Linked DNA regions of Elephas maximus indicus. The main gene of each other region encodes a partner of the protein of the gene in region 2 in a complex. Links are inferred from orthologs where the notes say so. Each region holds a gene or a part of one and is shown on either strand. Other genes may lie near its edges.

Evidence for each region.
Region 1: the proteins of ETFB (region 2) and ETFA are in contact, whole or in part, in a crystal structure (PDB 2A1U), measured with the Homo sapiens proteins. The link is inferred for Elephas maximus indicus from reciprocal best matches to the Homo sapiens genes ETFB and ETFA. Residues at the interface, in NP_001976.1 of Homo sapiens: Ile14, Tyr16, Val18, Ile20, Val22, Val29, Thr31, Phe41, Leu102, Arg106, Lys124, Gln125, Ile127, Asp128, Asp129, Asp130, Cys131, Asn132, Gln133, Gln136, Met137, Ala139, Gly140, Phe141, Asp143, Trp144, Pro145, Gln146, Thr148, Phe149; in NP_000117.1 of Homo sapiens: Glu27, Leu88, Pro89, Glu90, Ser113, Ala114, Phe115, Lys117, Asn118, Pro121, Arg122, Ala124, Ala125, Lys126, Glu128, Val129, Ala130, Pro131, Ile132, Ser133, Arg146, Thr147, Ile148, Tyr149, Ala150, Gly151, Asn152, Ala153, Leu154, Cys155.

The regions. Positions count from the first base shown.
Region 1 is NC_064831.1:67,197,075-67,203,936, forward strand, and holds the start of ETFA (electron transfer flavoprotein subunit alpha, mitochondrial), read left to right. Parts: upstream 1-3,862; 5' UTR 3,863-3,908; coding exon of another isoform or gene 3,909-3,947; intron 3,948-4,280; 5' UTR 4,281-4,320; coding exon 4,321-4,470; intron 4,471-6,862. UniProt on the Homo sapiens protein: Heterodimeric electron transfer flavoprotein that accepts electrons from several mitochondrial dehydrogenases, including acyl-CoA dehydrogenases, glutaryl-CoA and sarcosine dehydrogenase.
Region 2 is NC_064829.1:96,868,835-96,876,109, forward strand, and holds the start of ETFB (electron transfer flavoprotein subunit beta), read left to right. Parts: upstream 1-4,265; 5' UTR 4,266-4,325; coding exon 4,326-4,382; intron 4,383-7,275. UniProt on the Homo sapiens protein: Heterodimeric electron transfer flavoprotein that accepts electrons from several mitochondrial dehydrogenases, including acyl-CoA dehydrogenases, glutaryl-CoA and sarcosine dehydrogenase.

The sequences.
Region 1 (6,862 bases), on a different chromosome or scaffold from region 2:
TAAGTGTCATGCATGTTAAATGTCAAACAATAAAATAAAGTGAATAACAACCTAAGACTCAAGCTGGCCCCTGGGATACAATGAAATGTTTGTATTGTGACACAAACGGCAAAGACCAGAGGGATGAGGAGGAGGGAGAGATCAGTGCAGGCCAAGGGCCCTGTGAAGTCTGCATACATAGGCAAATATGTTCATCCATCCATGCATTCATTCATTTATTCATTCACAAAGTACATACAGAGTTCTGATATGGACCAGACATTGTTCTAGGTAGCAGGGATACAATAGTGAACAGTACAAAGTCCCTGCTCTGAAAAATAAAACAGGGTAAGGGGATGGAAAAAGGAGGAAGGGGATAGCTGTGGTGGTAGGGGAAAGCTTCTACGAGGTGGTGGTATTTGAGCTGAGACCTGACTGAAGACTAGGAGCAAACCATATAGAGGATCTGGTGGAAAAGCTTTCCACATAGTGGGAACAGCAAGTGCAAAGGCCCTGAGGCAAGATCAGGCTTCTATATTTGAGGACTAGTAGGACACGGAAGGCCCCTAGGTGGCACAAACAGTTTGTGCTCAATGTCTAAGCTAAAGATTGGGAGTTTGAACCCACCCAACAGCACTATGGAAGAAAGACCTGGAGATGATCTGCTTCTGTTAAGATTATAGCCAAGAAATGTTCTACATTCGACTTTGGTGAGTAGCATCTGGGGTCTTAAAATCCTGTGAGTGGCCATCTAGGATACTCCACTGGTCTCGCCCCTTTGGGAGCAAGTAAGAATGAAGAAAACTAAAGATACAAGGGAAAGGTTAGTCCAAAGGATTAATGGGCCACGACTACCATGGCTTCGACCAGACTGAGTCCAGTACAACTAGATGGTGCTCAGCTACCACCACTGACTGCTCTGACAGGGATCACAATAGAGGGTCCCAGACAGAGCTGGAGAAAAATGTAGGAAAAGATTGTAACTCAAAAAGAAAGTCCAGACTTGCTGGCCTGACAGAGACTGGAGAAACCCTGAGAATATGGCCACTGGACACCCTTTCAGCTCAGCAATGAAGTCACTCCTGAGGTTCACCCTTCAGCCAAAGACTGGACAGGCCCATGGAACAAAACGAGACTAAAGGGGCAAGCCAGCCTTGGGGCAAGGACTAGAAGGCAGGAGAGGACAGGAAAGCTGGTAGTAGGGAGCCCAGGATTGAGAAGGGAAAGTGTCGACATGTCATGGGATTATTAACCAACGTCATAAAACAATATGTGTACTAACTGTTTAATGAGAAACTAGTTTGTTCTGTAAACCTTCTTCTAAAGGACAAAAAAAAAAAAAAAAAAGATTATAGCCAAGAAAACCCTATGGAGCAGTTCTACTCTGTAACACAGTGAGAACCAACAACAACAACAGGAGTTGAAGAAAAAGGAAGGAAAGAGGAAATGAATTGGAGTGCTAGGCAGGGGCCAGAGCAAGGTGAGCTTTGAAGCCATGCCAAGAGCTTTGACTTTCTTTTTTCCCAACGTAACGAGGGGGTTTTGAGCAGGAAATGATGAGGTATGATTTATGTATTCAGAACATCACTGGTTGCTCTGAGGCGCATAGACTGTAGAGACAAATGTGGAAGCTAAGATACCAGCTAAGAGGCTGTTGCAATAATTCCCGCGAGAGATGATGGCATCTTGGACTAGGGTTGAAGCAGCAAAAAGTGGCAAGAGGAGGTCAAATTTGAGGTATTTTTGGAGGTAGAGCCAACAGGATTTTTTTTTTTTTTTAATTCAACAAGATTTGCTGGTGGATTTACTGTAGTGTATTTTGGTTTATGTGGCAACGGGTTGGCCACTGTGGTCATCAGAGCTGCCGGCTGAGGCTGAGGAGAATTTAGAATAGATAAGGAGAAAGGAGGAGTCCCTGGGTGGTACAAATGGTTAACATGCTCTTGGCAGTTCGAATTCACCCACAGACACCTCGGAAAGAAAGCCTGGCAATCTACTTCTGAAAAATCAGCCATGGAAAACCCTATGGAGCACAGTTCTACTCCGACACACATGTGGTTGCCATGAGTCAGAATCCACTCAATGGCAACAGATAAGGAGGAAGGAGACAATGAGTATCAGTAGTTGCAGCAGCCTGGGGGTTATAGTTTATTCCACTAACCCTTCCTCTTCTAAGTTTCCACTAGAAAGAGAGGCCTGCCAGAATCCTGGGAGCTGCTCCTGAAACTGGCCTGTAAAGACAAAAGAGGACAGTGAGGTGTTTTTCCAAATAGGCTGAAGTCAGTCTTCAAGGGGTGACTACTTCCTCCCACCCTCTCTTCCTTCCTTTCCAATTTCATCAAAGTTTCACACTCACTCACTGAACATCCACAAACATAAACCAGATATTTAACACCAGGGTTCCTGCCACGAAGCAGCTAGTACCTGAGAGGTAGAGACAGATCACAAAATACGTACAGGGAAAATAATAGCAATGTTGTAGTCTGCACTTCTCTGGCACTTTCCCCACTTGTAACATCCCTGGGGTGCATCTCTTGTGTGCCCAAGAAACAGATCTGGTCAGTTGTCACAGGCTTTCCAATTTTTGGGCTCTTTGTCTACCCTGGCCCTGTTCTGCTAGAAACCACCATGTCCTATGGGCAACGGGCCTCTGCTGGCCACAGCTGCTGCTGATTCACTGGAACCTCTGGGGTGCCAAAGCTGCCCAGCGTGGGTGGGGGAGCTTCTCTCCCCTTTCGTGTTTTGCTTTGTCATAGGTGTGGGGGCAGGGAAGGAGGTTAGCTTGTATCCCAATTTTTAGCATGTTTTTTAGTAAAATATCCCTTTCAGTTTTTACTTAAAGTACTCTTTCTTCTTCCTTGCACTTATAGGACTCAAATTTGAGTTCAGTGGGGAGCTGGGTTGGGAGGCAAATGCAGTGATAAACATAATACTGAATTGCCCCTCCCGGTATCCCACATACAGATTTACTGGTGGGTCCCAAAGCCCTCGACCACCACACGAGCGCCAACATGTCTGAAGTGGATACAACTTATGCTCAAGTTGGGTTCCCAACTCCTTAGTCATTTCATGGTCCTCCCCTCTTTTTGACTACGCACGCAGTTCCTTGTTCCAGAATCCAGCTCAAATATCACCAACTCTGTGAACCCTCATCTCTTTTTCTTACTCCTCTTCCTCACATAATAGAAATTATATACTTATTTGTATTTTTCCTCCAGAGTCTGTGAAGTCCCCAAGGGCAGGACAACACCTTATGCATCCTTTTATTATATTCCTCTCACCTAGATGTCCCTGGAGAAGGACACCATGCTTGGGAGAGGTCAGCGAAAAAGAGGGAGACCCATGGATTGACACAGGTGGTTGCAACAATGGGCTCCAGTATAACAACGATCATGAGGATGACGCAGGACTGTGCAGTGTTTTGTTCTGTTGCATATAGGGTCGCTGCGGGTCAGAACCCACTCGACGGCACTACCACCACCACCACCTAGAAAACTGCTTAGCACATTACAGCCACAGAGTCGATAACTGTGAATAAATGAATGAGAGAATGAATGAATAGAGTGAGTGGGGTGGACTTCATCCTGAGGCCTGGGAACCCAGGAGAGTAACATCATCAGTTCAGTAGTAAAGTTCGCTGGAACAAGGCTGCCCACAGTGGGGCTGCGAGGCAGACCGCGCCGGCTTCCCTCCGCCGTTCAGCCGCCTCGCAGAGCCTCCCAGCCAACGGCCTCACCTTTACCCTACTCCCGAGTCCCGCCCCACCTTTCCGCCGTCCCCATTGGCTGCGCACCGCCCAATGGGCGCTCGCTCGCAATCGCTCGTCTCGCGAGACTTGGAGTGACTGGCGGCGGCGGCGGTGCTGTGGCTGCCAGGCGGGGGGCTGCCGTGAGGCCGAGGCTGCGGCGGGGAGGACGGTCGCAGACACCATGTTCCGAGCGGCAGCTCCTGGGCAGCTCCGGCGGGCGGTGAGTGCAGTCGTGGAGGCCGAGCTCGGTGACGATCCCACCAAAACCTGTCGTCCCAGTGAGGGTCTTGGAGAAGGTCACCGGCTCCGACAGGCCCGACTGGCCCTGTGGCAGGCAGGCCTATCCTGACCTGGAGCTCGGTGCCGAGGCCCAAGGCTCTGGGACTGGGGCTGGCCCCTGATCCTTAGGGGCCGCTAGCTCGGGCACAGGTCAGAGGTCGGGGGTCAGGGTGACCCCGAGTAGTGAACTTGCGCTCCTGCTGCCCCTCCTCCTTCCGTCCCGCCCTCTCCCCAGTCCCCCTTTCCACCCTTAGGTCTCTCTCCCTTCTGCCAGGCGTCCTGGGTGCTCCACGCTCGGCGGGGTGCGGGCAGCGATGCCCCTAGAAAATCTTTCCCCGAAGGAACAAAACGTCGCTGCGGGGAGGCCCTCCTGGGAGAGTTTAAAGCCTGGACTCGGCCTGGAAGCTGACACGTCTGGAAGAATTAAAATGTCTCCACTGGGCGCATTGTGGCTGCTGGGTCAGGTGCGGGGGGAGGGGGCGTGGACGCGCGCTCCGGCCAGTGGGGCAGGGCTGGTTTTGGGTGATTGGATGTGCAAAACCAATAATCCACTTCAACGGCTTTAGCCAATTTTGAAAGGGGGAGCGTCCTTTTTGTACTGCAGGCTGACCTGCTTTTAAACTAGTAGATTGTTGGTTAAACAGCCAGGGAACTTGGTAGTGGTAGGTTTTGGGTGCTTTGAATAGTGAACATTTCTCCCTGCATTCTGTGAGAGGGGCTGAGAGAAAATATATTTTTGTCCTTATCTTACGAGAGGACAGTATTGGAGATTGACCAATTACAAGTAACAATAGTTTATATTGTGGATTCTGTAGAGTTTCTCATTGACGCTTAGGTTAAATGAGAAACTAGATGGCTAAACTTAGGTCAGAAACTTCCCTGATGTTTTTTATTTTTTGGAGGGTTCGGGGAAGGGGAGCATATTTTCCCTGAGACATAGCTAGTGATCTTTCTAGATGTCTGTAAACTCTTTTCTAGTAGTTAATCTTTGCTCCTTAAAAAGATCCTAACTCCCTTTCTTCTAAAAAGTTCAAACTTACATCCTTCAGGTTAGTGTCCTCTCTTTCCCTGAGGGGATTTTTTTTTTTTTCCCCTCAGAGGATATAAACATAAACAAGTTAAAGTCGTGGATTTGGGAAAATTCCAGGAATCATAGACTCTTGGAAGCAGTAATTGGAAGGTGGTTTTGTGGACAGGTTGGAAGTCTGGTATATGTGAACTGATACTTTTGGTGGAGAGAATTTAGGACTCAGTGATCTTGTAGAGCTAACAGAATAAATGGAATCATTAGTTTATGTAATTATCTTATTATGTACACAGTTTCCCAATATGCATAGATAGTATTTCCACATTTTTATTGTTGTTTTCTAAAGACTTTGACCTTGACTTATTTTTAAAATTTGAAGTCAGGCTAAGGTGGCTGCTGTAAAGTCATTAAGTACTGATGAATGATTTGGATAAGTGTATGAAGAATGACGAGAACGTTTCCAAAACAGGACACACAAATACACATACACATATTTAGCTTTTTTGTTTTGATATAGTTTCAAACTTACAGAAAAGTTGCAAGAATAGTACAAAGACTTCTTAAAACTCTTCATAGGGTTTCACCAGTTAACAGTGTGACACATTTGCTTTATACATGTATACATTTTTTTTCTGAACCATTTGAGGGTATGTTACAGACGTGCCCCTTTACTCCCCAAAATTTTTTAGTATGTATTTTGTAAGAACAAGGAGGTTCATTTACTACAATTTAATGATCAACATCAGGAAGTGTTTAACAATGATACAATATTATCTAATCTACAGTCATTTAAAAATTATGTCCATTGTCTCAATATGGGTTTGTCTTATGTTCCTTCTGATTAGATTCAGGTTATGTATTTTTGGCAGGACTATCACAGAAGTGATGTTATGCTCTCAATGCATCATGTTAGGAGGCACAATATGTTGGGTTTATCCTATCTTTGGTGAAGTTAACTTTAGTCACTTGACTAAAGTGGAGTTCACCAGGTTTCACCACTGTAAAGTTAGTATTCTTCCTTTGTTACTTTTAAGTAATTTGTAGGCAATCCTTGGGTGGTACAAATGGTAAATGTACTAGACTGCTAAGGTTGGCGGTTTGTGTCCACCCAGAGGTGCCTCGGAAGAAAGCCCTGGCAGTCTACTTCAGAAAAACCAGCCGTTGAAAACCCTGAGGAGCACAGTTCTACTCTGACACCATGGGGTTGCTGTAAGTTGGGATGGCCTGGACTACTGGATAGCAACTGGTTTATCCTGAAACTACGTAACTATCGGAGCCGTGGTGCCACAATGGTTAAGCACTCAGCTGCTAACTGAAAAGTCGGCAGTTCAAACCCACCTACCAGTGGCTGTGTTGGAGAAAAGACCTTTCAATCTGCTCCTGTAAAGATTTCAGCCTAGGAAACCCTATGGGACAGTTCTACTCTGTCCTACAGGGTTGCTATGAGTTGGAATCAACTCGATGGCGCACTACAACATGTAGCTATCCTGTTTCTTATCATACTTTCACCCACTAGTGTTAGCATCAGTTGATCATTCTTGCCTGAGAAATCATTACTATGATGGCCGTAAGATGGCGACTTTCTAACCCCATTTTTCTTTCTACATTTATTAATTAGCATTGTACTATAAAGAAGAATATCCCCTTCTCTCTGTTATTCATTCATTCATAGATCCTTATTTTGTTTAGTAGGTTATCCTCCATGCTCAAATTGTCCCGTATTTGTAAAGTGGGAGCTCTTTCAATTTGGCTCCTGCTTTATATATTTATGATGTCATAAAGTCGAAATAGTCAGAATATCAGTTGCCATTGAGTTGATTCCAACTCAT
Region 2 (7,275 bases):
AATGTGTGGAGTAGAATGAGGCCCACCTGGGGACCAGGGCATGTGATGGAAAGGAGAGAATGAACCAGGCAGATGCAGGGGCAGGAGGAACAGGTCCAAGGGCTTCGTGGAGTGAAGGGCAGGGAGAGGGCAAGAATAGTGGGTGTAGCCCAATGAAGTGGGTGGAAGGGCGGGGCCATCCCAGTTTGGTAGAAGATGCTGAGTTCACTTAGGTTGTGGTTGAGCTTGAGGGGTCTGAGAGAGCCAGGAGCAGATGAGGCTGGAGTCTAGGGCTCAGGAGTGAGATCTCCAGGTCTTTCTTCTGAGGCACATCTGGATGGACTTGAACCTCCAACTTTTCAGTTACCCAGCACATTAACTGTTGCACGACCCAGAGACTCCAGTAATCCAGACAGACAGGACAAATGGCTGGAGATGCGGTTTTAGTTGCTGTCAGAACATAAATGGTTCCTGAAACTGCAGGAGTGAGTAAGCTCACCTGGTAAGAAGGTGCAGGATGGAGCCTCAAGGAACAGGAGTATTTAGAAGTGGAGGGGAGGAGGAGCATGTATGAAGGAACTTCGAGGCCACAGACCAGGAGAGTTTGTGTGGTGCCTCCAAAGTCAAAGACAGAGAAGTTTCTAGAAGAAGGAAATGATCTACCATGGCATGCCCCTCAGGCTGCTAGGACAGAGGGAGGGAAACTTTATCCCTTTAAATGGCTGCTGGGGACAAAGGTTCTGGAACTCCTGCTGCCTCACAGAGAGCCAGTCTCCCTCCCCCCACCCCTCTGGGCTTGGTGTCTAAGAAACCCTGGGGAACCGAGTCTTAGTCACTTAGGTGGGTGGGGTGTGTGTGGGGGATGGGGTGCTGGAGGGCCTGAATGGGGATCCCACTGGGGGAGGTCTATGGGACCTAAGTAGTTTCCTAAGCAGAAAGCCTAAGAGAAGGTAGTCTTGGGGGAAGGGAGTCTCTGGTCCCCAGAAAGGGTTGCAGGGAGGGGTCTGGCACATGAGAGGACCTGAGGCAGAGGCGCCAGGGTCGCCAGGAATAAGAATTCAGGTAGGGGCGGATTATTCAATAGGCAAAGTAAGCCAGTGTTTACCTTGCTTATCAGATCATCTGTAGTAATCAGTGTCATATTTTTTCACCACATCAAAGATTCTGCTTCTAGGTATGGCTGGTATCTGTCTCTCTCTCAACTCCACAGCACCCTCCTACAGAATCAAAGCCTTTTTTAAAATTTATAATCCCTGACAGGGACACATTATCCAGTAAGCAAGGTGAACACAGGCTTACCTGTGCTTATTTACTAATCCGTAGGAAAATCTGGTGGTGTAGTGGTTAAGAGCTAGGGCTGCTAATCAAAAGGTGGGCAGTGCGAATCCACCAGGTGCTCCTTGGAAACTCTATGGGACAGTTCTACTCTGTCCTATAGGGTTGCTGTCAATTGGAATGGACTGGACGGCCACGGGTTTGGCTTTTTTAAAAAAAAAAAACAAACATGTTAAATTGTTAACTACAGATTAGTAAATAGGCACAAATAAGCCAGTGTTTACCTTGTTTATTGGGTAACCCGCCCCTAGTTCCAGGCAGGGAGCCTTGCCAGTGCCAGTAGAAGCCCGTGCCGTCGCGTGGATTCCGACTCATAGGGACCCTATAGGGCAGAGTAGAACTGCCCCATAGAGTTTCCAAGGAGTGCCTGGCGGATTTGAACTGCCGACCCTTTGGTTAGCAGCCGTAGCACTTAACCACTACACCACCAGGGTTTCCTTAGGAGCCTTAGGGTTTCCCAGTTAGGAGGACAAAAAGGCTTGAGGGAAGGAGTCTCCAGGTCCCCAAGCAGGGATGCTGGGGGAGGAGTTTGGGGGGATGAAAGGTGTGTCGGGGGAAGGAAGACACTGGGGGAGATGGCCGGGGAGACAGGAGGTCCTGAAGCCAGGGCCTAGAGCAGGAGGGGTGTTGGCCAATGCGACCTATGTGGCCCCCTGGCAGCAGCCTCCCTGGCATGGGGGTGAAGCGGAGTCTTCAGAGCGGAGGTACCGTGCTCAGCTTCTTAGCCAACATCCTCATGGTGCTCTCCACTGTCACCAACTACTGGACCCGCTACCCCGACGGCCACAGCGGCTTGTGGAAGGAGTGTAATAGCGGCGGCTGTTCCACCATCCCATGCCAGAGTGAGGCCCCGCCCGCGCAGGCGTCAGACCAGGCGTCCGACCCTCCCCCTCCCCCAGACATACAGTACCCAACGCAGACCACTGCAGGCGTCCTCTCGTGACACACCCCTCCGGGCACAACAGCTGGACATGTCATGAGAAACCCCACCACCACCACCCCTTCCAACCCAACCTCAGACCCAGCTGCCCCTCCATAATTGAGGCCACCACGAACCACCCTCCCCAACTTCTGAACTTGTTTCCCTATCACATTAACTACCTGTCGCGACATTAACCGCCGGTCATGAGATAACCTTCAGGTCTCCATTCAGATGCCTGACTCCAGGTTGGCAGAGCGGGGCTCCCAGCCCAAGACTGACTGGTGGGTAGGGGTGTGTGGCTGTCGCGACTGGGGAGGTGCCGGCACACTGATGCGGCCCCCTCTTCCTAGCCATGCTGGCGATGACAGGCGCGTGCATGGTGCTGGCTGCGGGTTCTGGCTTCGTGAGCATGGCCATGGGGCTGCGCATTTTGTGCCACCAGGGCGACTCGCTGCGCGGCCAGACGACGAGCGCCATCTTCTTCCTCAGCGGTGAGACTGCAGCCGAGGGTGGGCCTGGGGAAAGTGGGGACAGGGCCGAGGTGGGGGGGTATCAGGAGCTGGGCTGGGAGCCGAGGGGAGGGGCTGAAGCCCGAGAAAATGGGACGGGACCCGAGATGACTTACGGGCTGGGTTCAGAGGGGAGGATGTGGAAGGGGGCAGGGCCAGGGGTGTGGCGGGGAGGAGAGGTGTCGGCTCTGAAGTCTAGGGGTCGGGGCTTGGAACGATGGGCAGGGCTAGGGAGGAGCAGGTTCGGCCAGAAGGCCAGGAGGAGGGGCGGGTCAGAAGAGGGCGGAGACTGGAACGGAGCGGAGGTCTGGGGCGTGGCTTCAGTGCAACCTCTCCCGGGGTGTGGTGGCCAGGGTTGCTGCTGCTGATCGCAATGACAGGCTACACGGTGAAGGATGTGTGGAAGTCGGACGTCTTCTTCTCCTGGTCCTATTTTTCGGGGTGGCTGGCTTTACCCTTTTCTATTCTCGCGGGTAACCGGGACGGTGGGGTAGAGGAGACTGCCCAAAGGACCCTTCACCCAACCACCCACCCATCCAGAGACTCCCTTGCCGTCCTCCCAGAAAATCCCACAGCTATTTACCTGGACCCGCCCCCGACCCCGACCCCAAGACATTCCACCCTCGATTCCCCCAGACCCTCCAGAGATGCCCTCAGAGCCCCAAAACCCCAGGCCCCGGGGCCCACCTTCCTCTGCTCCCCTCCGGCCAGGCTTCTGCTTTCTGCTGGCGGACATGATCGTTCAGAGCACCGACGCCATCAGTGGATTCCCTGTGTGCCTGTGACCGCGGCCTGCCTGGGGCAGAATAAAGTTACAGCTCCCGCCGTAGCGGCTCCGCGCGTCTTTCTGGGGACGTGGGGACACGGACACGGGGGACATGAAAGTGGGGGGACGCAGGACCTGAGAACATGAGTACAGAGGGAACGTGGAGACACGGGGGAACACGGACGTGGAGGCAGGAACACAGTGGGCAAGGGGCATGGGTTTGGAGGGGAAAGGGGACACTTGGGGTCGTAAGGGGACACGGGCATATGGGGAGGCTGTGGGGACACGAAGTTCGGGGAGACGCGGATATGATGGGACATAAAGGCATGTGCATGGAGGGATGGGTAGATACGGGCAGGGGGGACATGGAGGCCTGAAGATACAGACACGAGATGGCATGGGAACGCCGGCACTGGGTGGGCGTGGGGACACGGATATGGCGACGCGGGGAGCAAGAAAGAAGGAGAAAAACTGGGGGTGGGGGGATAAGGGAGATCCAGTAACATTAGGAAGAGTCTAGGACGACGGAGAGAATTCCCAGTCCTGAAGTGCTGCGCTCGCAGACACGACTTTCACCTAGTTCCCGGCCTCGCCCCCTTCACAAAGCTCTTTCCTTTGGGTCCGCGTCCTATTGGTCCGCATCCACGCCCTCCTCTTCTAGCCTTCTGATTGGTCCTCAGTGGGGGGTGGAGGGCCCCACGGCAGTTGATTGGCTGGCGAAGCGGTGCGCAAGCGTAGAATGGGACGGGGCCGGGGCTTCGGAGCTTTGACTGAGGTTTCGAACTGTTCCAGCCAGCGGCGGTGATACTGGAAGATGGCGGAGCTGCGCGCGCTCGTGGGTGTCAAGAGGGTCATCGACTTCGCCGTGAAGGTGACCGGGCCCCCTCTCCCACCTCCCTGAGCCCCGCCGCCGTGTGCGTCTGGGATCGCGATTGCACACTCTCTCGGGGTCTTCTCGTAACCTTTGACCTCTGCCGCTCTTCCCCCACACGTCAGTCTTATCTGGGGGCAAAGGTCAAGGACTGTGAGGTTCTGACATCGATCCCTCTTCACGCAGACCCGGGCCTCTCTGAGATCATGACCCCGTTTCCCCCTTCCTCCCCCTATCCCCCGGTTTCCCCAGTTCTCCAACGATTTATAACTGTATACAGGGCAAGTTGCCTTCCATATTGTCTGGTGGGGAGTCATCGTCCATGTTTAACAAGGAGAAACTGAGGCACAGAGAGGTCACTTACCTAGGGACAAGTACAGGCCAGATTCCAATCCAGTTCACTCTGACTCCTCACCCCAACTCGTGCTTTGCACACAAGCCAAGCATTAACCCACTAGGCTGCATTCCCTACAAAATTTACTATTTCGGTCCCCAAAGTGCTCTCTAATGGAGGTCATACAGGGCCCTGTGAGAATCCAGAGGGTATCTTTACCCGACGCAGCCACAGGGTGAGTGAGAAGGCTTGAGCTAGAAAGAGAGAGGAAAAAAAAGTGTTTTTTAGAGATGAAAATTCAATTCAAGGAAGTTGCAGCCAACCTGACCGAGCTGGTTGTTGTTAGCTGCTATTGAGTCAGCCCCTGACTCATGGAGACCCTATGTACGGTGAGATTGGACTGTTGTGATCCATCAGATTTTCAATGGTTGATTTTTGGAAGTAGATCACTAGATCTTTCTTCCTACCCTGTCTTCCTCCGGAAACTCCGCTGAAACCTGTTCAGCATCGTAGCAACATACAAGTTTCACTGACAGATGGGTGGTGGCTGTGCTTGAGGTGCATTGGCTGGGAATCGAACGCGGATCTCCTGCATGGAAGACGAGAATGCTATCACTGAACCACAATGTCCTTTTAATTTCTTCATGGAAGGGATAGGGGGCAGCATCTCTGAAGACCTGGCTTGTCCCCAGAGGGAAGCGTGTGTGGACAGAGGTGAATCAGACACAGTCCCTCACGCTAGTTTCTCTCAATACTTGACCTAAAGCAGGTTGAAAGCGGTGACTGTTTGTCTGTGTCTCTACGCCATCAGACTGGGAGCTCACCTCCATGCCCTCAGCTTCTCTCAGCACAGGGCCTGCATCTTCGAGGCCTCAGAATGGATAAGACTGTGGCCACGAAGTTGATGCTGATATTGTCCCTACTTATGTGAGGAGTGGGCTGGGAAGGAGGGGACAGGAGACAGACCTAGGCCTGAAAACTTCAGTGCTCATAGCAGCTAATGTTTAGAGGGTCCTTACTAGGTACCTGGGTGTCACAAATGGTTTGCAGTCAACCGTTGGCCTAAAGGTTGGCACTTCGAACTCACCCAGTGGTGCTCCAGAAGAAAGGCCTGATCACCTGCTTCTGTAAAGATTCCACCCTCAACCTTCTGAAGCAGTTCTGCTCTGTAACACGTGGGGTCACCACGAGTAGAAACCGACCGATGGCAACAGGTTTAGTTTTGGTACTGTGTGCCAGGCAGTGTTCTCAGTCCTCTGTAGAGATTAACTTCTCAATATAACAAACAAACAAACAAAAACATTGCCGTCAAGTCAACTCTGACTCCTAGCAACCGCAAGTGTGTCAGAGTAGACCTGTGCTCTGTAGGGTTTTCAATGGCCGATTTTCTGAAGTAGATTGCCAGGCCTTTCTTCTGAGGTGCCTCTGGGCAGACTCTAACCTCCATCCTTTCTGTTAGCCACGTGTATTAACCATTTGCGCCACTCAGGAACTCCGTCTGGATATTATTAATCCCATTATACAGGTGAGAGAACTGAGGCTAGGGAGACTCTGTTACTTGCCAGATACCCGGGCTAAGGCAGTCAGGATTTAAATCCAGGCAAGTCTGGCTCTAGGGCCTATGCTTTTCACATCTGCACCCTGCTGCCCCTTGGCCTAATGACATCTCTGGCAGCATTGGACAGGATTGCTGTCTCCAGGCTTTTAGAGACACCCTCCTCTTGGGCTGCTGGGACCCGATTCTCCTGGTTTCCTCCTACCTTTTTGTTCCTTGGGGTCCCTCCTTTGGGCCCCCAGAGCCCCTTGTGCCTCCCTTTGCCCGTGTGGAAGCTGCGCTCTCCCTGGGCTGAGATGTCTGTGGTTGTATCCATCTCCTTCATGAGACTGAGGGCAGGCCGGGTTTGACTCCACTCTGGGTCCCAGCATAGCCCAGCACAGGGCCTGGCATGTGGGTGCCTCCTGTGTGTTCAAGGAGAGAGCAAAGAGGAAGTGTGAAGGCACCATTGGATCCGCTCCTGCCCTTTCCCAAGTGTTGGTGCTGCGTGCCCCTCTACAGTGTCCCCGGGCTCCTGCTCCTAGATCCTGTCTTTTACCCTGAATGTGCCTGTGAATGGCCTTTTCTGAACAAATAAATGATTCAAGCACTGCCAGCTACTAACCGGGTCAGGCCCTGGGTACAAACACATACCTTCTTCTCAATCCTCTGCCCCATCCCTCCTGGCCTCTGCATCTCACTTCTCTTTCCTCATGGCCCCAGCAGCTCAGGCCTCCTCCTCTCTTACTTGAACCCTCACCCCAGCCACCTCACTGGCCTCCAGTCTCTCATGTCCAATCCATTCCCTACCAGCCTCAGGGGTCTTCTATGCCCAGAGCTGACCCTACCCCCTCCCCTTCTCACAGCACTGCCATGGCTCCCTGGTACCCTCAGGACAAAGTCCCAACCCCTCAGCCTGGTGTTTGAGACCCTTTGTGGTCCTGCCTCTGCCCCTTCTCAGTCAGTCCCCTCTGTCCCTCTTTCACCCTCTGTGCTTCCAGAACACCAACCTGCTTCCTTTCCTG